4 linked regions of the Rhinolophus ferrumequinum genome follow. The protein of the gene in region 4 interacts with the protein of the main gene of each other region in a biochemical or structural test. Links are inferred from orthologs where the notes say so. Each region holds a gene or a part of one and is shown on either strand. Other genes may lie near its edges. The genes, in order: TLE1, MITF, NLK and LEF1.

Region 1 (7,759 bases), on a different chromosome or scaffold from region 4:
AATAAGAAAATTCACACCCCAGCATCTGTGTTTTTTCTCAAGCAAGACAAAAATAAAAACTGTCGTTACAGCTATTTCTTAGCTCTAATCAGCTAAGACTTCATAGGAACGAGAAACTAACATTTCTGGAAAGTCCACTATGGATGTGGTGCTTTACAAATAGTTTTTATTTACAAATCTTTTGAAGTAGGTATCGTTAGATGAAGAGACTAAAGCTGAGAGGGATACAAATGTGACTCCAATCCCTTGTTCTACCCAAATCTACCCAGAAATGACGCCAAAGCAGGTTAGCTTTCCCTGACACACCCACCCCCCTCGTGATCACCAATGATGGGCACAGCTTAAAAGCATCTAGCGTTCCATAATGGACTTTGCCTCAGCCCAATTCTCTACCATAGCAAACAGCGATTTCAACACTGGCTTTGCCTCCCTGAACCGACACTCCAGGGCTGGGGCATCGACTGAACCAAGGTTTTAGCTCAGCCTGTTTGTTGCAAAACAAATAAATGAAGTGCAAATACTGACAGTTCTCATTTAACTCCTAAACACACGAAAATAGACTCCCTGGAACAGCAGCAAACCGGCAGAAGGGAAACAATGGGAGGAGGAGGAGACAAGAGAAGAGGCGGCCCGGGAAGAGCCAGGAAAGGGGGTAACGTGAATGACAGGTTTTAACTGCGACTCCACACGCCACCGCCTGGACACAAATGCTAAGTACAGCCGCCGCCGCCGCCACCCAGGGGCTGGGCGACGTGGGGCACGGGACTGCCCGGGCAACCAGTCGCCCCCCGCGGGCCGACACGCACCTGTGATACTGCGCCTGCAGGAACTGGAATTCCTCTTTAATGCGGTCCAGAGACTCCGGAATAGTGAATTTGAAGGGCTGGCCTGCAGCCTGGTGCGGCGTCTGGGGGACGACCAGCGAGGGGGACCGTGGGACGGAGATGCGGGCGGGTGGATAAAGCAGTTAGAGGACAGAGAGGTGGGTGGAACACAAACAAAAAATAAAGTTAGAAATGGCGGATAACGGAGTCCCGAACGCGAGTTTGCGCTTCACTTTGGGGAGAGGGAAAGTGGACACTCCGCCGACCCCCGGCTTCTAGAGGCTCTAAGCCCCCTCCAGCCTTTCCCGGGTCACCAGACTGGAGGAAAAGGGGCTCCCCGGCGGCCAGGGTGGACCAGGCCAGACTGTCGTCATCGCCGCGCCCTCCCCCACGGGGGCGATAAAGACCCCGGGGACTAGAAAAGAAAAACAAATCCCTAACGCTCCCCGTTCCCAGAGTCGCCAAGGCCAACTTAAGCGCGCCGGAACGGGGGCCGCATTGACATGCAAATAGGCGAGACCAGAAACAAAGCGGGGGGGCGCCCTCCCCTCCCCGGGGGAGGAGGAGGATGTGGTTGCGGGAGCGAAACCCCGGCCTCTCCCGGTGCCCCCGTCACCCTGTCTAGACGTCAAGCAGGAGGTGACCCAGAAGAAACGGGGTGGGGGGAATTGGGAGTTTCAGCCCACTACCCACCTCAAGAGAGCAGGGCCCGGGACCTCCCAATCTTGCAGACCCGGAGACGAGGGGGTCCGTCAGAATGTAGCAGCCACCCGCCTCCCCACAGCACGGAGAGTGCCTCCCGCCCCCCGCCCCCCGCTCCCCCCACCACCACCCCCGTCTCCCCGGCCAGCCGCGCCTCACCGGGTGCCGGCTCTGCGGGAACATCGCTCTGGCTGCCGCCGCGGCTCTGTTCCCCGGCAACTCAATTCTCCGCTCAATTTCCAACTTTAATCCCGCCGAGAAAAATTAAGCCAGTAAGCCCGGCAGAAACGCGACGCGCAGGGGGCCCGCTGGCCACGCACGCAGGCGCGCTCGGCGGGGCGCACGGGCCACTCCGCGCCCGGCTGCTCCTGCTCCCGCCAGTGTGGGCTCCCGCGTTCAGGGCCACATCGTGGGGCACCCCGGGCCCAGCTGCTCGAAGAACCTCCGCGACACCGCGCTGTTCTCCAACCCGCAGGCCTTAGCCGCCTGGGCGAGGAGGTGGGGGAACGGTGACTCCGGCGCGCTCCTGTAGGCGATCAGTGTGCGCGGCAACCGTCCGGGCAAACAAATCCAGACGGGCTGTCTTCCTTTGCTCTTCTCCCGGTCTGCCTCCTCTCCGGGTTTTCCCCGCGGCGCCGGCAGCGGGCGAGGTGCAGGTGGCTGCCGGCTAACCCCACACAAACCAACCTAGTGACGTTTCGGAGCCCACCTTCGCGGGTCCAGGCAGCACCTTTGCCGGGCACTCGCGGGCCCCTAGAAAGCGGCGGGGAGCGAGGTCCCAGCCGCGGTGTAGGCTCCGCGCCCGGCGCCCCGCAGACTCAACCCTGGCTGAGAAGCGCGGAATGACAGCGAGGCTGGGAAAGTGCGGAGGGCGCGCCGGGAGGCTGCCCCGCACACCCCGTACGACCGGCACTCGGTGTTCTCCGCGGTTGCACAAACCCTCCAGGCCCGACGGGGCTACTCCACGAAGGGCAGTCCCGCGGTCGCCCACAGCTCCTTGAGGCCAGGGCGCATCCGGGAGCCGCGCCCGGTGAGCACTCGCCCCACACAACCCGTCCGGCCGCTTCGGACCCTTCCTGGGTCCTCTTTCTTTCCTTCCCTTCGTATGCCTCTACGTAAAAGGCGCTCCAGCCCGCTGCAAAGTTCTCTCACGACCCGGGGTACGACATCCACGAGATGGTGGCAAGAAGAACAGGAGTGCGCGTCGCCGCTCGGCCTCCCTTCCCGGCCGGCAAACTCCGCGGGAGAGTCTGGAGTACTCGGGGCAGCCGCAGCCCACCGGGATTAAGTCGCCGCGGGCCGGCGAAGGTCCGGGTTGGTGGCGCGGGTCCCGCCCGGCCGTGAAAAGGTGGGGGTGGTGCAGTCGGCTGCCTCGGGGACGCGGGGCACAGAGAACCCGCCGACGCTGCTGCGGCTCCTGCAGTCGCCGTTCCTACCACTGCCGCCGCCGCCCGCGCCTCTCGCGCCGGTTACATTAACACGCGGTTTCACACTCCGGAGCTAACCAGCGCGGGCCCCGCCCAGCCCTGGGCGGGCGGGGAACGAGAGCACCCAGCCGGCGGGCGACGTGGGCCCGGACGGCTGGGAGGGGGAGCCGGAGTCCAGCGTCAGCCAATCGCATGCGCGATGCCCAACGTGGGGTGCTGACGCAACCCTCCCCGCAGCCTATGGCGGCGCAGCACTGGACGGGCCGCCTCCCTCCTATTCCCCCCCCTCCCACTCCACTTGCTTCCATCTCTGCTGTTTCCACCGGCTCCCCTCCGGTCCCTCCCACCCCTCCTCAGCCAGCCGCGTCCTCCCGGGCTCGGTGAGGAACTGTTCCTGGAGGAGCCGCGGGACGCTGAAGCCAGCCAATGGGAAGCTGCGAGACGCGGAGATTGGCACTGTGGATGGGAAGGTCGGTGGGAAGGAGAGCGGCGGGGCCCGGCTGTCAATCAAAGTAACGTGGGGCCTGGGAGGGAGCGCGCGGGAACGCGAGAGCGAGAGGGACCTGCAAGTGTGCAGCCACGGAAACTGGGGGCTCGAGTTTGCAAAATTCCTGCCACTGTTCACTTTTTCACTGTTCCCTTAAATGAAAATTCTGAGATTTCAGTGAAAGTAACTCAGCGACTAACCGCGTAGTTTCTTATGGGAGAGGGGGCTTTTTGGTAGTTGGAGCCAAATGCATGTTTTGGTGCTATCCCCTTGTTTGATGCTACTCTTTTCAAAGTGAGGTCACATTCAAAAATTTCTCTGGTTTGTTTTTCTTTGGGCTGCCTTTACGCGGGTGCACGGGGAGTGGACTGTGCACTTGATGGAAAATAAGTGGGCAACGCATTTAGCTGGCGTATGTATACCAGCCGCATAAGACGAGGCTTTTAATGCCCACGCCCCCTTTGCACCCAAGGTGATAGGATTTGGTTTTTATTGGAGGATTTGAAACCACTTTGCGAAAAGGTCGGCCTGCTCTCGTTTAGCGGGAAGTATACCCGAGGTGCTGCCAGTGTAAGGCACGCGCGTCCCAGTCGCAGATGGGATGCTTTGCCCCGGGGCTCGAAATCTAGGGTCCTTGTCTTAAAAGTTCCGACTTCTCCGTGTTGGGGAGTAAGGGACTGCTGAGAGTTTTAGGAGCCTCCCATTAACATGACCGCGAGTCTGTTTCCAATTCCTGGAAACAAAGGGAGACAATAGGATAAACCAGCATTGAGACCTAAAAAACATGTCCTGCCCACCCCACACCCATAGTTTGGGTGGTATCCAGGGCTGAGCCCTGTAAGGAACTAAATAAGAAGCGCTGGGTAAATAAGATGGCTAAAATTATGAGATGGATTTGGAACTTGACTTAAATAAAAGGGATTTTGAGATTTTCAATAAATGGGGCATACCGTATAAATATCTGGTTTTTGTCTGTTTCTCTAAATATACTGCGCAGCAGAAAACCTTCAATATTGCCGCATTTATACTTTTGTTTAAAGAACAGTTCAGTGGAGCTATTTCCACATGATTGGTGAGTGACTAATGCTATTTTGGACAAATGGTGGTGAATTCTTCCATGAGTAAGAGACATCTTTGACAAGCATTCATGTTACCTTGGAATGTACTTACCAAGTTTTTAGTACTAATAACCCCACGGTCCCATTATTTTACTTTCAAGAGACTTACGGAAAACAATTTAAGCAGAAATACATTTTATTTTACAGAGATCTTTTCCTTGAAATATTAAAAGAATCATTTTGGATAATACATGTCACTGTTGCAGTTGTTTTTAAATATGTATGATATGGTTTTGTCTATAACTGCATCAATCCCAAACATCAATTATAAATGAAAAATTAAAGGAGTTATTTTAGCCAGCTGTACAAGTCCATTGTAAATTCTTAATCAAGTTGGGCATTGTGGCTTTGCAGTGTTCTTACCAAATTAAGTAGAGTTAGGAAGGGGGTCATATTCATTTTGCTAAAATGGAGAATGGAAAGGAAGAAGTACCGCCCCTCTTTTCTTGGTTAAATTTGGTGATGACCAGAGCAGGCTTGCTCCACACACAGGACTTCTTAACATCATATGATCCCTGGGCAACTAAGCTTTGTCCTTTGGCAGCCAGTCTGCCTTGAAATCTTCATCTAGTGTTTGGGCTACATGTGCTAATCTGTGGTCAGTTCACCCCATAATCAGCTGCAGGACTGTGTAGAAAGTGTTTGGATGTCACAAATATGCCAGTGCGTGCTGGGACAACTGGGGCCACTGAGACTTCTCTCTCACTTACCCGTTTTGCTTTGATTTACTGGCACAGGCTGGTAATTAAATTTAAACAGAGAAAATTAAAGTGGTATATTTTGAGATAGGACGAAAATGTTGCTACTTCTTCTCTACTATCACCTTTCCATCCCCTTCAAAACATTGTCTTCAAATCTTCTCTAATATAGCTGTTTATGGCAAACATGTTTGCTGTTACTCACTATATTTCCCAGTTTGCCATGGGTAAAATTGGAAACTCTCTTTTAACTAGTGCTTCCTTACCAGTAGAGTTTGAAACACCAGGCCTCTGATTTCCTTATAATGTTATAACTGAAGAATAGAAAGGGTGATGATTTCAAAATTGGAAGGCCCTTAATTGTGTGCATAAAGATGGTGGGTTTTCAATGACTTGTTTCTAGGGCAGCGCATCCTCCTTGAGAGAGGGAGAAGGCTGGGTCTCTTTTCAAGGTCATATTTTCTCTGTGATTGTCATGCTGTAATAATTATACTACAAAACTCATCAAACTGCATTACAAATTATGGTGTTTAAACAATCAAGTAGCTTTAATCTTATGTTTTAAATAAATAATATATGTGTAGATTGCCTACAGCCTGTTTAAAAGAAAATGGTCCTACTCATAACATCTATAATTTTGGTCTTCTATTTAAAGTCTATTAAACATAATCTTCTTTAACATATTCATATGTTATTTTTACATGAAATAGTATTAAGTATTCCACTTCTGTAGGAAATCGTCTCTGAAAAAAAGTTCCTTTTTTATCCTCTGCAAAAGAAACAAAAAGATTGTTAGATTGTTTGTTTTATCACTGATGCATATATGGGTATATTTTCATCCATTTGTTGATGATTATCAAATTTGCAGCTCACCAATAGCATAAGCCAACTACAAAAACTAGATGTTACATATAGTATAAGTACTAGATACAGTAGGAAAATCTGCTGGTCATAGAAATTATGCATCTTCTTTTAAATCTATTACTTTTTTATTTGAAATAATATGTCAATTTTTAAAAGATCAGTTTTGTAATTTTCTCTTCCTTTTAACTGTGAATTATTGGGTATACATTTCCTCATTAGACTTATTTTTTTAAATTGGGAGTTTCTTAAACCTAAGACTGTAGAGTCCAGAAGAAATTTTCCTAACATTGCATTATAACTCCCCCCCACACACACCCTTTTACCAAAGAAAAGGACAGAGTGGGCATGGGGGATGGAGGGGAGAAAGCAGAGAAGAAGAAAAAAATCAGTAGCAGATCCATGCAGCAGTAAAACCTCAAATAAAATCACATCCAAAGAATCTCTTGTGGTTTCACACAATATGGTAAAATTAGAGATTGCAGGAAACCAACTAAATTAAACTGGGAGCATTTGAAGAGAAACGAGCAGACTTTATGAAAATGACACATTGACTGACCAGTATGCTTTTTTATCAACATTTTTTTTGTTGTTGTTAAGACGCAGATCAAAGGGACCTGCATATGTTTTCATTTTGTTCTAACTAGAAAATTACATCCAGATGTTTAATAGGCATTTGGTTGGTTTTTCAGCATTGATTAGATATGTTGGTTCTGTTTGCTTACAAGTGTAGCCGGATCATTAGCTAATGCAAAGAAATGTTTGCTGTGAGTTGCTAATTAGGGCTTTTGGAAACCCTCCATGTTCAAGAACAATTTGTACAGTGGCCAGAAGAACTTGTGGGACTTGGGGAAGTTGTTTTCCCTTTTCTGTGAGGGTGGGGAGAAGCAGACAACCCCGATCTCTAATCTCTCTTAGCCTACAGGGATTGCGAAGCTATCCCTGAGGATTGGAGTGCAAATAAATTAGGAAGAGACCACACAGACACTCCCAAACACAGCGATAAATGTGCTTTCTGGAACTGCCACCATGCTGTCTTTGAGGATGGGGGAGCGAACATCTAAAACACTGAACATTAACATGTAGAAGCTGCTTGGTGCTAATGTTATCAAATACACAGCCTTTTTAAGTATACTTTAGAGACAGATGGGAAAGCCCTTTATGACAAACGAGTGTACTTGAATTCATTACTGTAGTAGTTATAATTAAAAATGTCTCCTTTGCAATTTTAGTACTTTTACAAGGTACAAGAGACCAAGCTTGGGAAGGGGAAGGCTGGGGCTCATGAAAGGAGTGAGGGGAACGGAATTTTGGAGCCAAGGATGAGCCTAGGAGGAAATGCAGTGTTTACTTTCACAGCCCACCTACTTGTTTACCTTGTTAAAGCCCCAAAACTTGTAGGAGATTACCCATTCACAAGGCATTCAAATAAACTGAGGATTTGAGGCACCAGGCTGATAAGCATCTTATCTGGCCAATCATGTTTTTAAAAACAGCTAGCCTGCAGAGTAACACCACCTCTGCAGGGGTCTAACTTTTGTTTATTTAAGTCTGTATTTCTAGAGAGGTATTGGGCCCTATAAGCCATCCTGGAAGTGTGGCTACAAATACCAGCATAGCATGTTCTTCTGCGTATTGATGC
Region 2 (8,188 bases), on a different chromosome or scaffold from region 4:
GTTTTCTGTTATTGACATTGTTCTCCCTCTGGGCTTGTCTCATCTTTTTAAAGTAACAAAATAGTTTCATTACCATTCAATCCTGTGCTTATTAAAATACACTTCAAATAAGAGAAACAGAAGTTGAATTAGATTATGTTTGAAAAGGAGGTGGGGTGGGGAAGCTTTATGCGTTTTTGTACACATAACTGAATTTACTGCTGTCAGGGAGACTGCAAAATAGGTTCATTTTATATTTGAAAAATATTAAGTCTCTAAAGTAGGGATGGTTGGGTAGCTAGAATTTGGACACAAAACCTAGATCTGCCAATCAAGTCCAGCCTTGAACTCGGACTGAATGATAAATAGGTGAAGTAATTGGAAGTAATTGGAATAAATAGGTGAAGTAATTGGAACTCTGTCTGATCCATTCTGGTGGCAGGTGGTTGTGGCTACATCCAGTTCCCAGCATTTCGACAACATCCCATGTCCTGTCAGGTTAAGGGGGTAATTTGTGATGTTTAGTGACACAGTGGTGGCCCTGGTGGGGGCCTTCACTAGCCCAGGTCCATGGCATAGATTTTGGAGTGGTTCCTAGTTGCACAGTGTCTGTGCCAGATTCTGCTGCTGTTCCTGAGGCTTTGTGAGCTACTCAATACACTTTCAATGAATTCCTTTCTGCTTAAATCAACTATGGTCAGTTTCTGTTGCCTCTTTCCTCAAACACACCACATGCAATCCTGCGTCCATAACTTCTCATGTCCATTTTCTCTTTTTGAATCACATGCCTTTTTATCTAATTTTATCATAAAGTATACCCCATTTTAAAAAACATTATGACAGTTTATTTTCTCACTTTTTTAAGTTTAATTATTTTATCATGGAAATTTTCAAATATACACAAAAATAGAGAGAGAAGTAAACTTCCATGACACATTACCCAGTTTCAACATTTTACTCTAACAACAGATAAGAGCTTTAAAAAAACAAGATGAGCAGAATATCAGTATCATACTTAATAAAATAAACAATAATTCTTTAATATCATCCAATTCCAGTTCATGTTCACACACTCCCAGTTTTCTCCAAAATGAATTTTGACAATTGGTTTGTTCAAATTAAGCTCTAGACAAAGTCTACATAATGTATTTGAGTGATATCCCTTTTTCCCAGTTCATTTTCTTAATAGTGATATAATTTACATGTCTAATATGTCTCTTAAATCTTTAAAAATCTATAACAGTTCCTCTTTCCCCTTTATTTCATGCTACTTATTTTTTGAAGAATTTCTCAATGTCTTGTAGAATTTCTCAATTTCTGGGTTTGTCTGATTGCATCCTTGTGGTATTATTAACATGTTCTTCTCTCATTTTTTCCCTGTAAATTGGTGGTTAGATCTAGCAGCTTGATTAGATTCAATTTTTATGTTTTATACCCTAGATTTTTTCCTTGTTTTTTTTTTTTTCTTTTTTAGATCTAGGTTAGTCACATCTCCTCTGAGAATTCTTCACTTCATCTCCATCCCTGCCCTCAGGTGTTGCTGCTTTCTCAGATACTTGTTGCACCTACCTGTCTATCACTCTATTCATTCATTAAATCATTTTCATTCCTATTTCTGAAAGGGCTGGGACTACGCCCTGAGTACAGGGCCCATACATGGCTCATCCCTGCTATTTCCCCATATCTAGCACGTAATGTGGCTGGCACCGACTAGATGTTTCATAAATAGTTGTTGAGCTAAATGGATAAGACAGTACTAATCCTACACAAATGATCTGCTTCTTAGCACTTAATGTGTGGTTTCTCATTGTGGTACAAGCTTTGACTTAACTCCTGCACTGTGAGTCTCTTGAGAGCAGGAAGAAAGTAAAATTCATTCATGTATTTGGGCAACCTAACTCAATGCCATATCCATAACTAGTGCATGTTCTATACATATTAGAATGGAAACCCTTGCTCTCTATTCTTGCTGGATTTCTATGAGCTCAAATAAGAGGTACATATGACAAGCATTTGCAAAAAGTAAAGTATTAGAAAAATATAGGTCAGATTATTAGTGACAGTAATTACAATCTCTAGCCATTACTTTTGTACTTTCAATAGGCACAGTCCTTGTTTCAAATATATGGGGCTGTGAACTTTAAATCACCTTTTTAAAGAAGAGGTAACTACTCCTACTGTTTACTTCATTAACGAAGAGAAATTACAAGGGACAACTCGTTATTATGTGGATTAGTGTTATGGCAGTCCACAGAAAATGTTCCACCTAAAGGAATGAAAAGTCTTTAGGATGATTACTCAATGCTCTTGTGGTTGCAAGTGACAAAAGCATAAACCAAAATATTAATAGTTGCAGCAAAAAGAAAAAAAATTTGGTTTATAAATTTGGGAAATCTAAGGATATCTGCTTCTCTGATTGTTGATCTGATCTCATTCTCTCACTTTTTTTTTTTTATCAGCTTCCTAGGATGCCATAAGTAATTAGCTCTAAGTTTTCTTCCCTCCAGCCCCATGCTTCCCAAATCAGACGGTCTTCTCCAGTTGCCCTAGCAGAAAAGTTCAAAGGAGGACTTCTAGTCATGTTAGGATGCTGTCTGTCTCAAAAGAAATCACTGTGGCTAAGAAAACGGGGCCCACTGATTGGTCAGGATTAGGTCATATACCTACTTCCATTGGGTAGCAGATGGCACTGCAATCAATATCCTGGCCATATGTAATGGAAGAGAAGTTTTTCTGAACCAAGAGTAGAGTGAGACCAGAAGAAAAGGTGTAGGGAGAAAAAATAGCAGGTATCTGTGCGTACTTCAGAGCAACCTCAGCTCAGAGCTCTGCATCTTAGGGATCTCTCTGGAAGGTGCCCTTGGTTGGAGGTAAGTTCAGGGATCTTAGCTTTTTTGACAGTTTTTTCCCTTTAAGTTTGGTCCCTTCGGTCTAGCGGGTCACTGATATAATGAATGACCTACTAGATTGTTTCACTATGGTTCTAAAGAGGTTATAAACTGCGTTTCTAAGATGAAGGCCTTCAAAGGATGAACAGACCAAAATTATAAATAGAATCTTATTTACATTTATATTTTCTGGGGAGAAGGTCCATAGCTTTTCCTTTGATTAAAAAGCTTCTGGTGAACCAAAAGATTAAGAAGACTCCAGTGTTTCTCAACAGGTGCCATTGATTTCTGGACAAGAAAGTTTGTTACTTTACAAAATGTATAGCATCTCTGGTCCACACCCTTTAAATTTCCTGTAATATCCCCAACTCATTATGAAAATCAACCACGTTTTAAGAACCAAAAGCTGAGAATCAAGATGAGAGTAGAAGTCTAGGTCGAAAGTTCTCTTTGTGTTTTACCTTTCTCTTATTTCTGGCAGAGAATAACACTTCTTTAAACTTTTAACATCTAATTTCTAGCTTTCCATCTATCAAGGGATCTGGGATCCCACATTCATGAGCACAAAAAGCCCACTTTCCTCAGGACTGTCCAGATATTTTGCCATATTTTAATGGAATAGTGAAGGACCTAAAGGTAGTATTTTGGGGAGTAAATTTTATTGTGGGATTTTGGCAGTTGTGTACCTCCTGCACATTTCCCCAAATCTCTTTGTGGAGATCCTTAACTCTAAAATCAACCCATCCTACTTAAGATCTTTTCTATGTGAAATTACAATGTTTCATATTGAGGCAAAATGGCCAGCTCCTGGCAGACGCCTACCCAGTAGCCTCCTTAGTTTTCTCCTAGGATGATCACTTCGTTCATGAAGTCTGAAGGACAAACTCACAGATGAAATGTTAGTCTGAAAGGAGTATCTTCAAGATCTAATAAATAAAAGGATGACCACTGAGCAGCAATGTTTATAGATCACAAATCACTTTCTCTTGCATTTGACCATGCAACATCTTCGAAAACAAGCTCGTCAATCACTTCTTTTATAGATGAAGAAATTGAGGCTTCTAAGAATCAAGTGACATGCCCCAAATTGCACAGCACTTTAGAGAAGGACTCAGGATTTCAACTCTGGATCTTAACACTTTCAACGCCACCCTCTAACTCACTACCGCCTCCCTGATGCCTCAAGACACGTTTAAAAGAAGGAGTCCATCCTACTGGAACTAATCAGAGGGTGGACTGACAGCAAAAACAAGCGCTTACAGAGCCCGGCGCTTACAGAGTGCCGGGAAGCTCAGGCTGGGGGCTGACACTTGTACAGTTTTTTGCTCCACAGCTTCACCCCTGAAATGTTAGGACAATCTCGTTTGAACTCCCAGCCAACTGAGAAATTAAAAACAGACGGTGACTACGTTGTTTTGTTACTTGGTGCCTTTTTAAATTAACGGAGCCTTTCAAGAGCTGCTTTAGATTAGAAGTGGCTAATTGGATAAAGGGAAAGAGACATTCAGCTGGATGAATGGTATTGTAAAGCTCAGACTGAATTATAGAAAAGGAACGCCCAAGAACACTTTCCACAATAATATTTCAATTACTAAGTGTTCCTCCACTCTGTTCCAATCAGAGGACACGATGATGTGTCGCAGCAGTGCTGGGAAGCAAGCGGGCTGATAGGAAGTCCTTTTATTTTAAGGCAGGCATAAAGGCTAAAACTTTCTAAAGCCAAAACTATCCACTTTTTTTTTTTTTTAAATAATAAGGACTCGGCGTCTCCTCTCAAACGTCTGAGCTGGGAGGAGGGGTGACGGTAGGAGAGAGAGGCTGAGTCCGTTCTTATTACTATTAAATAGCCAAGTCTGTACCCTTGAGGCAAGTGGGGAGATAGAAGGGAGAGGAGCTGCTGACATTGACAATGAATCCAAACAGGAGTTGCACTAGCGGTGTCCACCACGCTGCCTCTGTCCCCGCCTGGCCTTCTGGGAGTTGTAGTTTTCGCGGGAAGGGCTCCCCCAGCGAGCCGGGAATGCCCCGTCCGGGCCGAACTACAGATCCCAGGCAGCGCCCGGCCGCCGGCCCCTCCCGCCCGGTGCGAGTGTAAACTCCCCGCGCCGGGCGGGCGGCCGCGCGCGGGCCAGCGGGCTGAGCTGGGCACTGTGTGGGGGCGCACGCTCGCAGGACCCAGGCCCCGCCACCTTCTGTCCGCTCGCGGGCTCAGTTCTCCCTTTCGAGCAGTGGAAGGACGGGAAGCGGGAGCCATGCAGTCAGAATCGGGGATCGTGCCGGATTTCGAAGTCGGGGAGGAGTTTCACGAAGAGCCCAAAACCTATTACGAACTCAAAAGTCAACCCCTGAAGAGCAGGTGAGTGGTGACAGCTGGAGGAAGGCGCGGCTGGAGGCTGGGGGTGCCCCGCGCCTCCCGCCCTGGGGCGAGAAGAGCCAATCGCCCGGGCTCTGGGACAAGGACCTCGTGCCCTTGCCCCGGGGCAGAGGGCGAACTGCCCCCCGCAGTTGGGGTCTGCGCCCGTCAGGCCGGTGCACCTCTGGGGGCCTCTGCCCAAGCGCACTTCGGGGGCTCAGCGGGCAGTCCGGGTGGCCGGCTCAGGCGTGGGGACCCTCGGCTGGGGATGCCAGCTGCTGAGACCGGGTGGGGGCTGGGGAGCGACCCGGCGTGGAGGTGGGGGAGGAGGCGCGGGGCCCGGCGGATGGCCGGCTGCGAAGGGGGAAAAGAGTTTCTAGTGAATCCTTCTACTGAAGATCCCAGCGGGCTGATCCGAGAGGGAGAGCTTGGGGTAGAGCGAGGCGCGACGTTGGAGGGAAGCAATTAGCTCGTTTGTTGTCGCCTCTTAGGAATCTGGCCCCTCTGGGAAAACCCGCCCCTGGCCGCCTCCAGGTGAGGTTTCGCTGAGCTCTGCCTCTCACCTTCCTGACGGCGGCCAGGGAGTGGGGCGGGGCCGGGGGCCGTGGGTGGGCGTGTCTCCGCGTCCAGGTTCAACTCAGTGGGCAGTAGAGTCCCATTCAAATCCAAGCGTATGCTGGAGGGGAGAAAGCTTTGGGACTGGAAGGCATTGGCAGTGTCCCTTCCACGGCAGCGATTTAATTAGCAAGGGACGTAAACTTTTTAGGAGAGGAGTGAAGACACCCGCTGGTCTGGCGCCCTGCCACCTCCGCTGCCCACTCCCTGTTCTACCTCCATTACCACTTCTCTGGCGGAATGGGTTGGGTGTCTTCCTTTCTCGGTCCTCGGGCCACTCCGAACATTTCCAGTGTTTACTAAGAGGGAGATGGCCATTTCAAGCTGTGAGAGTAGAGAGGGTTTATTTCCATCCCTCTCGGTTGTGAGATAAGGCTATTTAACTGGAAGGTTCAGAAGTGGTTCTGCACCCACCTCAAACCTCTCTGCCTGCCCCTCACTGTGGGTAGGGCTTGGGTTAATGGGCCCGGCGGACAGAGGGGATGAAGGGCCAGAAATCAGGGTGAGTGGAGAAGGGGAACCAAATCAGGAGGGCGGGGGTGTAATCTTTGCTTCTGGGGTGAGGAGGCTGGTACTTGGCTCTAGTAGAAAGCAGAGCTCTGTCTTTTAGGGCTGTGTCCTTTGGGGCTGTGTCAAAACTCCGAGCCCAAGTTGAGGAAGAAAATCTGAACAGCACACTCACTGACTGACCCGTTGCTGAAGCAGCCTCTGCAGATGCTAAGGGAGATTGGAAGGAAACCTCCTCTGCAGTTAGACGAATAAAACCCGCCTTTAGTTGGTGGTTTCTCTTCATAATGGCTGTTTTGTGTGTGAGCATAGATTGTGTGTGTTGGGGGTTGAGGGTTTTGAGTAATATTGTGCAAAGGGTATTGTTGGTTATGCTCACTGGGGCTTTATCTGCACTCAGCTGAAGGGACCAGTGTTTTACTGAACAACCTCTGCTTTTGCTTCTATAAGCAAATGCTTACATGGCCAGAATGAGGGAGTGTGTGTGTGTGTGTGTGTGTGTGTGTGTGTGGTCCTGAAAGGAATGAATTCACTGGACTGTTGGGGACATTTTTGATGGTAGCTGATACATAACATTAAATGAGTTTTGAAAGTGAGGAAAATACCATCTGGAAGAACCCTCATGAGTGCCATGAAACTCATGTTGAAGGATTTGGGCCTGTTCTTTTTCAGAGTTGGCAAAAAATTACTTGCAAGGGTGAACGTCCTCTGTAGCTAGCTGGCACGTGTAAGGAAAAGTGTGGTACCTGGGAAGAAATGGCTTCACACACGCTGAAGCTAGAAACAGGTGTGGGACAAAACCAGGATGAAGAGGAAGGCTAAATTGAAAAGGTTGGAAAACTGGAGCAGACACATGCTCTTTGAAATAAAGCAGTTAAACAAAATCTGGGAATAAATATGTGGGGTTGACAGAATTTCTCCATAGTGTTTTCCATAGTTGCCTAATGTATTGTCATCGACATGTGTTGTGTGTCTTTAAAAGGGCTACACATTGTTCAGAACCTTCTATGGCTTTTTGTCTTGAGTCTTTGATGGGGCACCTCCCTTCTTATACATCTTTGTTGGAAAAAGTTGAAATTGGAAGTTTAAGACGCTGTAGCTGTTTCGTCTATCGGTTGTATTTTCAGGATTGTCTCTTGGGGTTGGAAATATGTCGAATCTGCCCACTTCTCACCAACTCACTCCTCTGCGACCGCTTTGGTCCAGGCCACCATCACCCTCGCCTGGGTCATTGCAGTTGTCTCTTAACTGGTCTCCTGTCTTCTACCCTTACGCGCTTTAGTGGGTTTTCAACATACAGCCACAAGGTTCCTGTTAAAACCGGTTCTCAACCTGGGGCTGATTTTGCCTCCCAGGGTTCATTTGGCAATGTCTGGAGACATTTTTGGTTGTCACAACAGAAGGGGCTCGCTACTGGCCTCTGAGAAGTAGAGGCCTGAGATACTGTTAAACATCCTACAGTGCGCAGGATGGCCCCTACAAGGAAGAATTATCTGGCCGCAAATTGTCACCACCGAGGTTGAGAAACCTTGTGTTAAAACCTATCGCGTCACGTCATTCTCTACTCAAAAACCTGCAGTGGCTCCTAGTTTCAGTAAAACTTGAAATCCTTGAAATGGCAGAAGGCAACCAAGGTCCCTGTCAGCTCTGAGTGGATCTCTTGCTGCCACCCTCCTGGCTCGCCTGCTGCAGCCCACTGGTCTGCTTGCTGTTCCTGGAACGCTCCAGAGCCTCCCCCCTCAGGCCCTCTTAGGTTGTGTGTGCTGGTCCCGCTGCCTGGACAGTCACAGTGCTCACTCCTCCCTCCCCTCCCCCAGCCTCAAGTTGTCCTTTAAATGTCCTTCCT
Region 3 (7,436 bases), on a different chromosome or scaffold from region 4:
GTGAAGTTAAGACTTCTACAAATCACATCACCATTGGATAGAAATATAGGTAACACCTTCATAAGCAAGAATGCTGCAACCTGTTTCCCCTTCAGTATCTCTAGTTCTTAGCATTGTACGCAAAGTACTAAAATGAAAGAGCATCCAGGTCGAAGAAAATCCACGCACATTCTCAGTAAATCAGTGAGAACTTTTAAAGCAAGGAACACAATTTTTCCTGTCCACTCTCACACCACCCTCATCGCCCTCCCCCAAGCTTTGAAATCCTCAAGGGTCAGGCAAGAGATGGAAGTTCACAGTGCAATCCCTGAGGAAAGGCTATGGAAGGAAGGAGAGGAAGGCAAGAACAGGCAGGTCCCTGAGCAGAGTGACTAAAGAGGCACCATTACCGGCTACACTCTTTCCCACCAACAATCCCCCTCTCCTTGGGGAAGGGAGCACTAAAGCAGCAACCTCCTGAAAGAGCTAGCTGGGCAAACACTGGACTCGACTAGTTTAAAAAAGAATCAGATCACTTAGTAGCCTACACTGTAAAATCTGAACTGCATATAAAGATGGTCAAATGTAATGCAAAAATGATACTCATCGCTTATAGCCTGAAAAACAGTGACGAAAGGAAACATTTACCAGGCTAGTTCCAAAGAGTTCCTTCTTTTTCCTGTGGTGATGGGGGCTTTTCTAGACATTAACAAGAATCTATTTTTGAACACACTCAAAACATCAATTCATCTAGCCACACCAGAATACTTAATCCTTGGGGGAAAAACTCAGTTCACTCTAGTTTTGATAGGAATAGAATCCTACAATGATAAATACATTTTATTATACACTACTAATCTTCCTACGAAGGGTAAAGAGACAACATGTTGCCTTTAAGAAGCTCTTAAACTTTTAAAAATATCATAGCATTAGTAAAGATAGAGGAATTTCATGTTTAAAAAGTATTAATATACTTCCTCCTACAGCAACCAAGGGATAACAGGAACTAAAGAGGCCCTAAATGACACTAAAACATTACACCAAATGTGGGCCACTGCATAGCTACAGTCTACTGACCTCATTTGTGGTACTCATGTGTGATGCTATATTTAATGCAGTCTTATCAAAAGGCTAAAGCTACATACTTCCCAATTGTAACTTTATAATTTAAAATAAACCACTCAAGAAATGACTTAACTGGTTCAACTATGACCCCAATCCTCTTTCTGAGGATAAAGATCACAAATTAAGGACTGAAAAGACAGAAAGGATAGCCAAGTAGTTGTGCAAAGCACATCCCCATGGCAAGATGAATGAAAGGAACTGAGCCTGGGTCAGCTGGGACATTTGCTGCCACTGGGCGACTGATTCAAACTAAATCATACAGGAGAGATGACCAAGGTCTTTGCAGGAATAAGCGTTTCACACATTCAACTACTGATCCTACATTTAGTGGCTTGCTTAGGTTCTAAACAAAAAGTTTGGTAGACAGCAAACTTATGTATGTGACTCATCAGAGGGTTCTCCACCAAAATTTGCCATGACTCAAAGCAGAAGGCTTCATAGCCAATGCACTGTCCCGCGCACGTGAGCGTGTCTTCCTACAGTTAAGGGGAGAAGCTTGCTCCACTTTGGTCAACGTGGAGAAAACCATGAGATGACTCACCCAATCACCACCACGAGAGGACACCATGAGAAGTTGTGTCTTTCTTCTGATACTCACCAGACAACACCAAAGGCTCCATATCCAATGGGTCTATCCGGCTCAACATCCAGCTGCTGTTGTGGATGATGCGAGTGCTGATGATGATGCGCCTTAACTGTAGCAGCTGCGGCAGCCTGTACCTGAGCTGGGGCTGCTGCAGCTGGTCCAGGAGCCTGACCCGGTGCCGGTGATGGGAAATATGGCTGTTGTTGCCCAGGGTTTAACATGGCTGCAGCTGCGGCCGCTGCTGCGGCTGCCGCAGCTGCCGAAGAAGTATGCTGCTGTACAGGGTGTACAGCAGCAGCCGACCCCGGATGAAGATGGTGTTGCGGGTGGTGGTGGTGGTGAAGGTGAGGAGGAGGGAGGTGTGGAAGGTGGTGGTGATGGTGGTGGTGGTGACCTGCTGCTGCCGCAGATGTGCCGCCATTGTAAGCCGCCATCATTTTTGCGTTGGCTCTTGCGCCACAAAGAGACATTCAAAAAAATGCTCTTTGATTGGAAAGCAAACTGGGTCAAGCTGTCATTTGGCCATTTAGAAATGAAGAAAAACCACTCACTCCACCTCCAAAAACATGGAGCGTAACTGGCCTTACGTCTTCATCAGTCAATCCAAGTAAGGAAGAGGATCTTGGTGTTGAGATTGGGGGTGAGCGTGTGTGGAAGGGTGTGGGTTACCAAAAAAAGAAAAGAAAACGAAAAAGAAAAAGAAAAAAGAAAAAGGAAAAAGGGACCCCTTCCCCCCAGGTTTCCTGCCACAAGTGGGTACTAAAACTCCATCCTTAATTTGGGGGCGGTTCCAATTTCGAATGTGGGAATAAAGGCCAAACCTCCGGACCCCCTGAACTCCACACACGAAAAGGATCAGGTAACACACCACCCTTGGAATCTTGTAAGAGGGTTGACTCATCTACCCCTTCCATTCCCACATCCTTTTTTAAACACTACCACCTCCTCAAAAATACAATGTAAAAAAATTCCAACCACCCCAAATTAAAGAGATGAGGGGAAATTTCCAGGGAAATCAGCTCCCCCCCCCTCGAACTCTCAGGCCTCCCTACATCTCCCCCTACTCCTAGTCAGGTTGACCTGATTGCACTGGGGGTACTAAACTTTCCTGAACAGAAAAGAGCCAGGGAAGGAGGCAGAAGGGACAGAGTGAGCAGAGGAGGCGGCAGGGCAGGGCAGAGAGGAGAAAGAGAACCGGGGCAAAGTGAAGGTAAGGAGGTGCAGAGGAATGAAAGAGAGGTGGGCAGCACTCGGACGCTCCGACAGAGGGAACCGCCCCGGGATGAGGTTGGGGTCCCGGGGCCAAAGAATAGCAGCCCCCGGGAGGCGGGCGGGGTGCAGTCGGAAGCGGGCTGACTCCTACCCCCGCCGCCGCCGGCTGCTTCTGCTTGAAGGGTTGGGGGGGAGAGCGGGTGGGTCCCCCCGCACGACGGCCCCCGCAGGGCTCAAGGCTGCTCCGTCTCCCCCCCTCCCCCCCACCCGGCTTCCGTCCCCGCGGCCGCTTTCTCCTCAGTCGCTGCGGCCGCTTTCTCCTCAGCCGCCGCCTCCTCAGCCGCCGGTACCGCCGCGGCCGGACTCACCTCCCCTAGCAAAGCCGGATAGAGCGGAGCCAGCGGCGGACACGCGCAACCAGCCGCCAAGGCCCCGCCCCCGCCTCACACTGACCGGCTGCCCTAGCCAATCCACGCCCACCTGTCCGCGTCCGCCTCCAATCCAGGGCCGGGAGCTTCAGACAGGCGCACTGTTCGGCCAGTGGCAACAAGGTGTAGGTCTCCTGGGGAAATCCCGCCCCCGATCCAGGATGGGCAGATAGAAAGACCAATCAAAAGGCAGAGTTTGGCCTGACCGACAAGGCTAAAAGCGAATTAAAAACCAAAGATCTCCGTGACATTTTCTTTCGCCTCTCTCCTCTTTTCTTTTTTCTTCTTTTATTTTTTTGGCAGGCGCAGGAAGCTGCGTGCTGATCCCGCCTGCAAGAGCTGGAAGAGAGGGTGGAATGAAAGAACCAATAATGAGCTGGGGACCACGAACAGAGCAACCAATCCTTGGCTTGAAAATGAAATGGGCTGGGACTAGGGCCAGATAGACACTTGATTTGACAAATGGAAGAAAAGATTGACCTCAGTCCCACCTTTCACATCTCCTATAGGTCAGGATTGTGGAGAATTCGCTGTCATATCAGCGACGACCTCTTCAGGGGGCGGGCCTAAGTCAAAGGGGTGTGGTCTAAAGAAAGGGGCGGGACCAAGGCGAAGAAGGCGGAGTCTAAATCTGCGCTAGTCCATTGATGGGAACCCTCTACCGTAGTATCCCTTTTAAAGGCGTAAGATGTGGAGAAACAGGGGGGAGCAAAGAGGGATGTCGAGCTACAGAAACTCAAGGTCCAAGGTTACTCAACACGACAGTCACAGGAGAAACTCAGTAGATTGACAGTTCATAGCCTATGGCTAGTCCTCCATGGCTAATCCTGATCTTGGCACAAAGAAGCATTATCTCCAGCATTCACAACTCCACCCTCAACGGACAGTAAGGCTATCGATACAAATACAAATTAAAACAACAAAAATAATAAACTTAACAACAAATGTCGTAATTTTCTCCTATACTTTCCAAGTCAATAATTTCTAGTCATTGAATCTTACTAAAATAACATCTTTCTTTCACTTTCACATAACCTCACTTATCTGAATTTTCTTTTTAAAATATGAAATAATAAGCTTACAGAACCTTATTTTAATAAAAGTGTGCACCCAGAACCCTGGAGATCATCTTTGATTCTTCTTTTGCCTGCTCACTCCTCCCCTTCTAATCAACTATCAAATTTTAAATACTTTTAAACACTTCTACACGCCCCTCCTCCCACCCCAGTCACCACAGTATTACCCAAATTTTCACCACTAGCACCTTTAAGGCATCTTGCTGCCTACAGGCTAACTCTCCTCTAATCCGTCCTCCATTGAGAGCATAGCAATCTTTTAAAACTACAAGTCTAACATGTCCCTACCCTTGATGAAAGTCAGTAAGTGTAAATGGCCCAGCACTATCTGGTTCCCACTTTCTTCATTCAGGTCTTCACATATGAGCGTAAGTTTCACTTTTTTGTCCTGGAAAGCTTTCCCCAACAGTGTTGCAGAGTATGTGTCTCTGTTATAAAGCTCCATGGCACTGCCTCCCTCATAGCACTGAGAACTCTATATTTTAATTGTTTACTGAATTTGACCAGGACAGAAAGCTTGCCTGTCCCACTCAATGTTGTATGCCTGTGTCCTAAGGCAGTGTCTAAAAGATGAAGAAGCAACAATATTTGCATGAGTTATTGAGTGCAGGAGAAGTGGGTACCAATCTAAGCTAGGCTGTTTACTAGTTCTGACTTAGGTAATTTAACTAACCTGAATCTCAGTTGCCTCAGCTGAGAATGAAGATGATAATATGTGCGTCAAGTTGAGATGTTAAATTAGGTGATATATTTTAAAGTTCTTGGCAAATGGTAAAAGTTAGTATATCTTCACTCTATCTCCCTAGTCCCACGCTCACATAGTATTTGGGATGCCTTTCCAATTTCCCGATGCATATCAGTCTCCTCCAAAGTATAGTTTCCTAGAAGCATCTTAGAAATGCAAAGTCTCAGGTCTACTGAATCAGAATGTCTTGGCAGTGGGGGCAGGAATCTGTTTATCAAGCCATCCAGGTGATTTTTACATGTGCCAAAGTTTGAGAAAGCACTGGCCAGAGGGAAGGGGCTGAGTCTTCTTAAACTTTTACCTTTCGGCACCTAGTATAGTATCTGGCTCCTAGAAAGTACTCAAGACGTGTGAAATAAATACATGCAATCGACCAGAAAATGTTTGCTCTTAAGAGCTATTTATTTCTGCCACAAACATTTATTGAACATGAACTGTATCTAGGCATGGTGCTAGGTTCAAAAGTGGAGGAGGGGGATACTTGAATTAAAGTCTCTGCCCTTCAGGGACTCGAAGCGTGGTACAAGAATTTCCAAACTGGTGTGTGTACACTCCAGGTGGTGCAAAGTGAACTAGGAATAGGCTCCAGGAGGAAATTAGTATAATAAATGCTGCTTATTTTTTATTTCATCTTTTTAAAATGTCCATTTTGTGAATGTTTTATAATGTACATAATATACAGAGTAGTGTACATGTATATAATCTTTAAATACATAAGTTGGGATTCATGACCCTCCAAAATTATCAAAAGATATTGAGAAATCACTGGTCTAGTGACCATTTAATGTTCATAGTTTAGATCAGTCCTGTCCGACAGAAATATAATGAGAGGCACTATGAAATTTTAAATGTTCAAGTACTCATTAAAAAATTAAAAGAAACAGAATTATTTTTAATATATTTTATTTAACCCAATATATCCAAAATATTTTCGTTTTTAACATGTAATTAATGTAAAAGTTGTATATATATTCTTTTTTCTCCCTTCTTCCACCTACCCCCACCCCACTCCAGTTCAAGATGTTGTTTCTCAGTCTAGTTGTGTAGGACACAGCTCCCTGGCCCATTCTGGTGTTATGAGCCTTGCGCTCCCCCCTGGCTGAGGCAGTCAGTCGCTGGTAGTCAGTCGGCTGCTCACAGCTCATGGCAGCTCATGCTGGCTGCCGGCCACTCACACTGGCCACCGGCTGCTCCTGACAGCACACAGTAGCCCGTGGCAGCACACAGCAGCCCAGCTCCAGGGAGTGCCACTGTTCACAATCTTCACTGTAGAGAACGCTGCTCACTGGCTCATGTGGGAATCGAAACTGCGACCTCGGCGTTAGGAGCATGGTGCTCCAACCACCTGAGCACCGGGCTGGCCCTGTATATATATTTTGATACTAGGCCTTCGAAATCCGAAATCTGATATATCTTTTGCGTCTACAGTACATCTCAGTTGAATTAAAACATCAATTTCCTCGGTCATGCTAGTCATATTTCATGTGCTCATTAGCTTCATGGGGCTAGTGGCTGCCATATTAGACAGCATAGATCTAGATCATGGGTGTGAATCTCTGCTCTGCCCCTTCCTAGCTCTGTGATCTTGGGCAAGTTGCTTAACTTGTCTTAGTCTGAATTTCCTTGTCCATAAAATAGAGAGGATCCCTAACTTCTCCAGTGGTGGTAATGATTCAAATAGACAGCTGTGGAAAGTACAGAGCTCATCAGGGCCTGCCTGGCTCATCAGAGATAGTAAGTGGGGTGGTTATTATTAGTATTACAATCCAAGGCAGCGTGTCCTGCAGTGTCAGATGAGAAATACACTTTGGGCACTGTTCATGTCCCCAGCATTCCATCCACGTGGGGCTGGCCTGACAGCCACCCAATTTCCCTGAAACACATCACCAGACAGCACAGTATCCGGCCCTTTCCATTCTGTTCCATTTTCAGGAGCTAAACATGATGAACAAGAAGTCGGAAGTTAGTCAGCAGGATAGCACTTAGAGCCTAAAAAAAGCAAAAAGGACATCAGAATGCATAAGCAGGAATAGAATGTGCAGGAAGTGGGAGGTGATCTTCCCTTTTTTCCAAGAACTGGCTCCCTCTTGAGTTGCCAGGGGAGACTTTGTAGAACCTGGGCCAGGCCAGGGGGATTAAAAGGAAACCAAGAGGGCAACTCACATTCAACAGCGTTGGTTGCTCAGTGACTGTCACATGACAAATCATCACTACATTCCATTTTGCAAATGAAGAAACAGACTCAGGAAGGCAAAGTAACTTGAACCTCACAAACCCAGGGAGTG
Region 4 (8,301 bases):
CCTAATTTTAGAATAAAGTGTTATATTTTTACAAGTTAGATTCTGCTTTGCTGAGCTACATTTAGTCTGCATTCACTGCCTTTCTTCTCACTGTAACTGGAAACAGCAATTTCACAAACGAAAATCCATTTGACACTATTCATGTTGTAAAATAAACTGGTGTAAACTGTCACTCTTTACACCAATTGTCAACAACGCAAGAAAAAATGCTCAAGACAAAGCCAATTAGAACTTCAGGTAAAATGAGGAAAAGAGGAAAACTCATGATAATGACATTTGCTCTTCTACAAAAAATCTGGAAGCCAACTGAAATCAAAAGGCTCCTAACTCATTCAAAGACAGTTTTTAAATTACATAAATATATATTAGACATAAGCATGAAGTTTCCTGGGTTTTCTTTTCCATCTTGTTAAAATAGTGGGCACAGTCTTATCACATCTCATCCCAGTTTCTTGGACTCAAAACAGCAAAACACTTATATTCACAAATTGCACATGTTAAACAATAGTTGGAAGAAACAGAATTAGTCTTACCGTCATCAGGGTGTTCTCTGCCCTTGTCGTGGTAGGACTCCTGAGAGGTTTGTGCTTGTCTGGCCACCTAACATCATGAATGCCCATCCCCAAAAGAAAGAAAATCACCTTAGAGTTTGTGAAAATACTGATAGAAGTGTGTATCCACTGGTAACTCAAAGCAGGAGCATTAGATGCAACTTAGTCTACCCGTTTTATTAATCTACTAGGTGTAGGCTAGGGTTGAGTCCTGGGAAATCTTTTTCTTTTTAACATGTCCAGAGGGTGTCAAAAAATGTATACACATTTTAAGAAAGGAAAAAACTGTATTAAAATTGTAATACTCAATATATACCGATAACAAAAGATGAACACAAGTCATGCGTATACCTTTTTTTTTTGGCACCCCCCAGTATTTTTGACTCATTATTATCTACTCAGGACTAGAAAAAGTATAAATAATAATAAGAAAATAATAATAATATAGTAAATTTGGGAAAGACCCACATGCTGTACTGACTGCTGTTTGCTAAAACACATCAAGGCTACTGGGATGCCTAATACGATAGCAGTTTGAGTTAATGGAGTTGATCGTTTTGATAGCTTCTTCAATCTGTTTATTTGAATCAGATCTAATTAAAAGCAGGCTGAAATATCATTGTTCAACTGAAAATGGCATTGTAAATAAAAACAAGCCAACTACTCACAGAAGCCACTGTCCCAAGCCAGTCCCAGCAGGAGCTCCACTCCTTACAACCTACCATGGCTGGCTGAGTGCAAGCTTACAAGAGAAAAGTGAACTACTCTGTGGTTAAAGAAAGGAAAATTTGAGAGTCGGGTTTAGACATCTAAAAGGTAGCCCAGCTAATATCAGTTCTGGTAACCACCATCCACCCAGGCTCAACCACGTGCTAATCAGTGGTGTTACCCCTTCACTATCTTCCTTGGGGCTGCCCCATGCCCACTTACCACCATGGCAAAGATTAACAGAGCCCTAATATCTGGATTCTGGGCTTCAAATGCGGTGCTCTTCTTTCCAGAGCAGAAACACACAGAAAATGTGAAATGGTGGCAAATTAAGTTATTGAATAGAAAGGACAGCAAAATGGATAGAAAGAGGCTTCTCTACAAATAGGAGAGTTTGGCCTCTGAGATGTTTGGATGTTATTTGGTTCTTTGGACACGTGTCCCCCAATGCCCTCCTCCCCCCAATACACATATAGTCACAAACCTTTTAAGTGGGGTCGGGTGCACCCTAGACCCCCCCCCACGTCCCCCTCAAATTGGCATGTTGGGATGAAAGAATCAGAGAATAAAGAACACCCTTATATGTTTTCCTTAGAACCCAGGCCCCCAAGCCTTCCAAAATGCGTACTCACCCCTGCCATTGGGATAAAGAAGGTAACTCTGAGGTGTTCTTAAACGCCTTGTTTAAAACCCCAAATGCCCCCGCCCCCAAAACCACAGGGTTTCTTTTTGGGGGTAGAAGGATTCCATTTAAGGACAAAGGGTATACCCTCGAAGTTTCTTTGGAGGGAAAAAGCGTTGGTGAAATCATTTGAGTGTCAGAACTTTTCTACCGGATTTCCTCCAAAGCGTTTCCCAGCTGTTGAACAAGAGTGGCCAGTGGAGTGTCGGGTATCAGGGTCCATCCGCCCACCCCCAACCCCTTCTGAAGCTCTCGCGCGGCCTGAAATAGCCCTTCCGCGCGGTCCCGCTCGCGGCTTTCTCTCGCTGGCACCCACGTGTCTCTATTTACTCTACTCGGGTTACCAGCGCTATCGCCTGCCGCGGGCCAGGAGATCTGATAAAGCTCTTTCCACCCTCCCCTGAGTGGGTGCCCTGGCTTCCGCCGCATCTCCACTGACTCGCCTGTCTTCTGCATAGATTTAAGTCCTGATCCGGGGCCAATCTAACCTCAAATACAAGCGCTTAAAAAAAAAAGTGACTTGTGTAGGAGAAAATTAGTGTTGCGGGCGGTACTTGCGAGGGCCCCCTGGGTTGGATCGGCTCCGCGCGCCCACGGCTCTCGCGCTGGGACTACAGCGGCCGAAGGGACCGAGCCTCGCACGCCCCCCACCCGCCCAGGCGCAAGGCCCCTCCGCCGGCCGGCTCCGCGCGAGCCCCGCTCAGCGGCAGTTGGACCGGCCCCGCCTGTCCCCGGCCCACGCCCGCCTCCCCTTCCTCTCCGCCTGTGGCTCTGCTCGTCTCTACCTAAGCCTTTGGCGGTTTAACGCACTTTTGCAGACAGCTACCGAGAGATAGCGGGTGCACTTTGTTTTCCGTCCTACGGAAGAACTTCTCAGTTTAGACATCCCTGCTTTAATGCATTGCACCCTCAACGCCACTGAAAACTACGAAGGCCAAACATGTTAAGGTCAGCTTGTCCTGCCCGCAAACCAACGGTTTAGCCACCGAACCCCAAACGGATCCACTTGGAATAAGTTTCCCTGCACACCCCTCCACCTCCCACCCGACACGCGCGCACACACACAGACACACAAAGGAAGACTGCGGACCAGGGGCTCATCCGCCCCCCAGCAAACCAGGGACCTCCGGGGGATCATCGCCGGGGCTGCCCGGCGCCGTCCCTCCCTCCCTCGTTCTCTGCTCTTTCCCGGGACCCGCCACGCCTCTTGGTGCTCGGGCAACGGCCCGCTCACCTCGTGTCCATTGCTGGCCGGGATGATTTCGGACTCGTTAACCAGGGAGGACTTGATGTCGGCTAAGTCCCCTTCCTCTTCGGGATGACTGATCTCAGCGAAAATCTTCTCCTTCTGGGGATCGCCCTCGTCCTTGAAGGGGATCATCTCGTCCGTGGCGCAGAGTTCCGGGTCCCCCCCGCCGCCGCCGCCTGCCCCGGAGAGTTGGGGCATCCCGACCACTCTGTAATCTCCGCTCTGCTGGGGGAGCACCCAAGGCGACAGCAGGAAAGAGAGCGGGTCAACGAAAGGGGGGGTGAGGAAAGGAGAATTGGAAGGATGCGTAAGGGAGGAGAGTGGGCGGAAGTTGGGCCGGCTAGCTCAGGGCCGGCGGCCCGCAGCCCGAGCAGCTGCGGCGGCGCCTGAGCCCCGGCGGCCGCCCGCGCCTTCCCGCTCCGCGGAGACCTTCGCCTGCGCCCGCCTTCGAGGCTGATGGGCACCCGGCTGCGAGGGCCGCCGCAGCAGGCGCCTCTGCGGGCGTCTGCGCGGCACAATGTGGGGTGCTCTAGGGTTGGCTGCTCCGGTGGCCACCCCACGCCCCCAGCTCCTCCGGGGTCTGCGCGCAGAGGACGCCTGTTCTGGAGGAGGCACGACTCTCCAAAGTGCAGAGGAGAGTCCGTCGGCGCGTCTCTACGTAAACCTCTCCACCCTAGCTCCCCCGGATGCCGAGTTGGAAGTTTTCCGAGAATAGAGGAGAGCTGGGCAAAAAGTCTCCTTTTACCCCAGCAGAGAAGGTTCAGGAGAATCAAAAGGGAACAAAATGTCCACTTCCTGGAGGGGAGAAAAAATAAAGAGCGACCCGTGTTGGAATATGTCCGTTATAGAGCTTCTTATTTCCTTCCCTTTCGCTTCGGTTTTCCTTCTCCAGACGCGTTTAATCTGCTAGAGGAGGAGGAGGAAGACAAGGTGGGGGCGGAGGAGGAGGGGAAAAGAAAGAGAAGTTTGCCAAGAATAAAGTTTTTGCCGGCGAGCGCTAGGAGTCAGCAGTGGAGGGCACCGTGGGGTCTCGGGGTGTCACAGCAGGGGCTTCGGACCTAAATGCTTCTGCCAGGAGCTGGAGCCGAGACACACACACACACACAGCCCGACCCCTCTTTGTTCCCGGCTCGAATTTCTGCCTGGCTCGGTCGCTCGCTCTCTCGACGCTCTCCAAGCCTCCGCCGGGCTGGTCTGTCAAAGCAAAGAGCTGCACCCCTCGGGTTCGCCCGGCCGAGGGGAGGGGGACGCCCGGAGCTTGGCTGCGTGCGGGGCTCCGGGCGCGTCCCGACGGCTCCTCGGCCCGAGAGCGCGCAGCCCCGATCCCTCCTCCGCGCCCTACCCCGCAGGTGAGCGGCTGCGCCTCCCCACCGCTTCTCCTCCTCCCGCGCCTCGCCGGCGCTGAAAAGCTACCCACTTGCGTCGCTTCTCCTCCCCCTCCCCTCCCCCGCCTCCAGCTCTCCTTGGCTGCCCGCTGGGGTGGGGGGAGGAGGGGGACCGCGAGTTGGAGGTGGTGATTGAGGACTTTTTTTTCTTTCCCAGAGCCTGTAGGACGAGTCCTAGTTTTGGGGTGTGTGTGTGAGTGTGTGTGTGTGTGTGTGTGTGTGTGTGTACGTGCGCGCGCGCGAGCGCGCTCCTGGAAGGAAGGATCCCACAATTTGACAAGGAAGGACCGGGCGCTCCTTGTAACCCACGGAGAGGCACGCTTTGCCCGCGTGAAATTGACAAGAAACTGCCCGAATGGTTTAACTTCATCTAAGTACCTCTTCTTGCACCCCCTCCGCCCCCTTCCTCTGCCAGTCTCTTCCCCCACCTCCTTTCCGCCTCCCTCTCTCCCCTCCCTCACTCAGGCAAGGGGAAGATGAAAGCGAAGCCGCCGCAGCTGTGATGGACACCACATTGATAGATGCTCTGACAGAGGATGAGGCGGGAATCGGAGACAGAGAAGGAAAAGGGGAAAATATAACAGACATTGCTCAACTAACAAGAGAACGGAAGCAGGAAGGACAAGGAATAGAGTTGTGGCTTTCCTAAATACAATGTCAAAGGACAAGAGAGCACATGCTAGCAAAAATAAAATCTCCAGGCTTACCGAGAATAATAAGACGAGGAAGAAAAAACTGAAGATCTTAATTGTCGCTTTTTAAACAAGATCTATTCCATTATGTCCTCGCCATGGGATGTAAGGAGAGAGTTATGCTAGGTCTCTCCTGGATTTTCGGAGATACACGCTACAATGCGTGGGGATCTCATAGAGAATGAAAAAATAACCCAAAGAGGAGGAAGAGAAGGTAAAAGGACCCAAAAGAGCGAAACCAGTAGAGAGAGGGTAGCCTCTGGCACCTCCGACGTGGGCTCAAAGGGACCCTTGAAAATGCAAATCCGAATCCAACCTCAAAAATTCCCCAGCCTCCACCGTCTCCACCTCTCCACCGATGCATTTTATACAAGGACAGGACTTTTAAGGAGATGCTTTGTGAAAGTTACAGTATAAACGAAGCTGAAGTTGAAAACACATTACACTTTGTTCCTTGGATCTCAAACCCCCTCAGTTAAAAATCCAGGCGAAATTATTATACCCAATGAAGTAGCCATTTGTAAAACCTCAGAACAGTAAACAAGGGGCAGGAATAAAGGTCTCCATATCCCTTAAATTGAAAATAAGGAAAACACTACAGAATCAGACTTTAGCTCTATTATATACGGTAGGAACAGTCAGGCAAAGATCCCTCTTCTTTTCCTAAGGGGTGTGTGTGTGTGTGGGAGGGGGTGATTGCTTGCTGTTGGATATTGTATAAGAAAAGACGTTAACAATGCTCTAATGGACCACCTGAAACTTCACCTGACAACTTTTTCTTAGGGATGGGAATTGTTTTAAGAAGCAATTTAAAAAACTATACCATTTTCAGTCGATCACATAGAACATGGCCAGTAGTCACAGGTAAATTCACAGGAGGTGGGGTTGGGGGCTGGTGATGGGAGCCAGGAAGAGTAAAACATCAAACCCACTTTAAATAACTAACAATGCAATCCTTAGAGAAGAAAAACAAAAAGAATATTCTGCTGCAGTGTGTCTATAAGGCGATACTGAAAAGGTTGGAAAGAAACCCAGTGTTATTTTTTGATTGGTGGCCATATGCAGCAACTTCCATTGAAGTTATGCACCAATGTGAGTGTAATGTTCTAGAGACGCGAACATGTAACTATGTCACACATGTATACCCTCTGTTCTAAATGAAATATTGGAAAACAAAGTAGTCAAAAGTCGTTCCACAAGGTGCCAATTTGACCGACAGAAAAAGAACTGGAAAATGCAGTTTCACCAAAGCAGCCAGAGTAGAAGTTCCTTTTCATCAAACTCGAGGAGGGGGAGGGGGGACACAGCGTGGCCAGAGGGTATTTTCTGAAAGCCAAAGAGAGATTAAATGATGACTCCTACATCCCCGTTTAAGTGTTGCAACTCACTCGAATCCCATCTTCTCCTTCGTGTTAATTATCTGGACTCCCTGAGTCATTTGGAGCTCAACTCCAGGTGTCCTGGAGATGAGGCGCTCGAGAAGATGGGAATTTTTGGAGCAATAACTAGTGGGAGCTGTTTACTAGAAGGGCCGAGGGTAAGTGGCTGCCTTTATTTAGTATTTGGCGGTAACCCTCTCCTTTGGAAAAATTGTTTGCAACGAAAGCACCCAATGCCATGCTCTGTTTGCGTGGCTGTTTTCCCTCCCCATGTACTGCGAGGTGTTTTGCTGAGTGTCCTTAGCATTGTTGCAAGTGTTCTGATGGGCTGCAATTAAAGGCTTTACTAGAAAACATTCACCCAAGTTTTTTAAAGCTTTGTCTGGGAAGGAGGTTGACATTTCCACGTGAAGTCTGTTTCTCGAGGTGGGGTGGGGGGGCACCAGAGGGGCGAAGTAACCCTGGGAAGACGTTCCTTCCTCCCTATAGGTTCGGTGAAGTTCCAGGCAAAGGCATTTTCTGTCGCCGGGAGGTCTTTTCTAATTTGTGTGGGGGCTGCTATTAACATATGCAGCCGCCTCTCGAGGTGCACCGTCCGGGATGTGGTGGGTGCAGCGCGGGAGAAACTCCGCCGCCCGCCGCCCCCTTCCTTCGGATGTAGAGGCGGGTTGTTCGTGTGAACTCGAGCGAACGACGGGAGGTTGGCTGTTGCAGGTTCACTCCTTCAGGATGTGGGTTTCAGGGGGCGTTTTGATGTGATTTAATTCCGACCGTGAAACAATTGCTAGGGGCTGGCTGGATTGCTGTTGGTTTTTCCCCTTGGTGGCTTTGGTTGGTTGGGGTTAATTTGGGGAGCGAACAGTGACTTGTTTTATATCAACACTTCCTTCTACGCTGCGCCAGGCGCCGTCGGCAGGGCTGCGCGTGGGGGCGAGGCGCCCACCCTGCGCCGGAACAGAGGAAGGGGGAGCGGAGACGCGCCCGGTAGCCTAGGGCAAACCGGGCCCAGCCCCCCGCGGGTGTGGGCAAGGGAACTGGGAGAATGACCCCCACCCACACCATAGACCCCTCCCCCCCAGCGATTCTGCTGCCAAGTCAAGTCAGTTACAGACACTCAAGTGAGTCTTTAATTACAGGGAGGAGAGAAAAGCGCGGTGCCCTTCAGAGCCCTCTCCGCCCCCTCGGTCCTAACCCCCCGCCTAAGCTCCGGGTCTTCCCCTTTGTGTGGCCTGGACTCGCTCCCAGCTACAACTTTGGTGGGATCCCAAAGGAAGAGGGTGGCGGGGGCCTACGGAAGAGGATGCTCGAAGAGAGAGAAGCGATGGTCAAGGACTAGATAAACGAAGAATATGATTCCAGAGACGGAACTCCAGCATCCTCGATTTCCCACCCCCGCTTCATCCGAGCCTAAAGCTGTGCGCATCTTCAGTTTAACGGACTTCGGGTTAAGGGAGAAGGGGGAGGGCGAGGGAAATGGCAGTTTGTGTCCCAGGGGTTCTTCCGCCTCTTCTTGCCTCCTCCTAAGACAAACAAACTCAACCCCCCATCCGCCGGGGTAACAGAACTCGTGGGACCGTAAAAATGTCGTTCCCAAATCCGGCCGCCTGCGGACACGGGGCTTCCGCGGGGCCAGCGCTGCCTGGCGGGGGCCTGCC

Evidence for each region.
Region 1: the proteins of LEF1 (region 4) and TLE1 form a complex in vitro, tested with the Homo sapiens proteins (2 studies listed by BioGRID and IntAct, with this or other methods). The link is inferred for Rhinolophus ferrumequinum from reciprocal best matches to the Homo sapiens genes LEF1 and TLE1.
Region 2: the proteins of LEF1 (region 4) and MITF form a complex in vitro, tested with the Homo sapiens proteins (2 studies listed by BioGRID). The link is inferred for Rhinolophus ferrumequinum from reciprocal best matches to the Homo sapiens genes LEF1 and MITF.
Region 3: of the proteins of LEF1 (region 4) and NLK, one has a biochemical effect on the other in vitro, tested with the Homo sapiens proteins (4 studies listed by BioGRID). The link is inferred for Rhinolophus ferrumequinum from reciprocal best matches to the Homo sapiens genes LEF1 and NLK.

What each region holds. Positions count from the first base shown.
Region 1 is NC_046295.1:45,522,964-45,530,722, forward strand, and holds the start of TLE1 (transducin-like enhancer protein 1), read right to left. Parts: upstream 3,059-7,759; 5' UTR 1,710-3,058; coding exon 1,686-1,709; intron 908-1,685; coding exon 807-907; intron 1-806. UniProt on the Homo sapiens protein: Transcriptional corepressor that binds to a number of transcription factors. Inhibits NF-kappa-B-regulated gene expression. Inhibits the transcriptional activation mediated by FOXA2, and by CTNNB1 and TCF family members in Wnt signaling.
Region 2 is NC_046300.1:63,431,245-63,439,432, forward strand, and holds the start of MITF (microphthalmia-associated transcription factor), read left to right. Parts: upstream 1-4,947; 5' UTR 4,948-5,119; coding exon 5,120-5,223; intron 5,224-8,188. UniProt on the Homo sapiens protein: Transcription factor that acts as a master regulator of melanocyte survival and differentiation as well as melanosome biogenesis.
Region 3 is NC_046304.1:19,218,024-19,225,459, forward strand, and holds the start of NLK (serine/threonine-protein kinase NLK), read right to left. Parts: upstream 3,155-7,436; 5' UTR 2,161-3,154; coding exon 1,703-2,160; intron 1-1,702. UniProt on the Homo sapiens protein: Serine/threonine-protein kinase that regulates a number of transcription factors with key roles in cell fate determination. Positive effector of the non-canonical Wnt signaling pathway, acting downstream of WNT5A, MAP3K7/TAK1 and HIPK2.
Region 4 is NC_046288.1:57,709,271-57,717,571, forward strand, and holds the start of LEF1 (lymphoid enhancer-binding factor 1), read right to left. Parts: upstream 3,412-8,301; 5' UTR 3,389-3,411; coding exon 3,176-3,388; intron 2,436-3,175; exon of another isoform or gene 1,901-2,435; coding exon of another isoform or gene 1,892-1,900; intron 1,292-1,891; exon of another isoform or gene 1,277-1,291; coding exon of another isoform or gene 1,220-1,276; intron 601-1,219; coding exon 534-600; intron 1-533. Other genes in the region: uncharacterized protein LOC117022360, read left to right, coding at 4,253-4,539. UniProt on the Homo sapiens protein: Transcription factor that binds DNA in a sequence-specific manner. Participates in the Wnt signaling pathway. Activates transcription of target genes in the presence of CTNNB1 and EP300.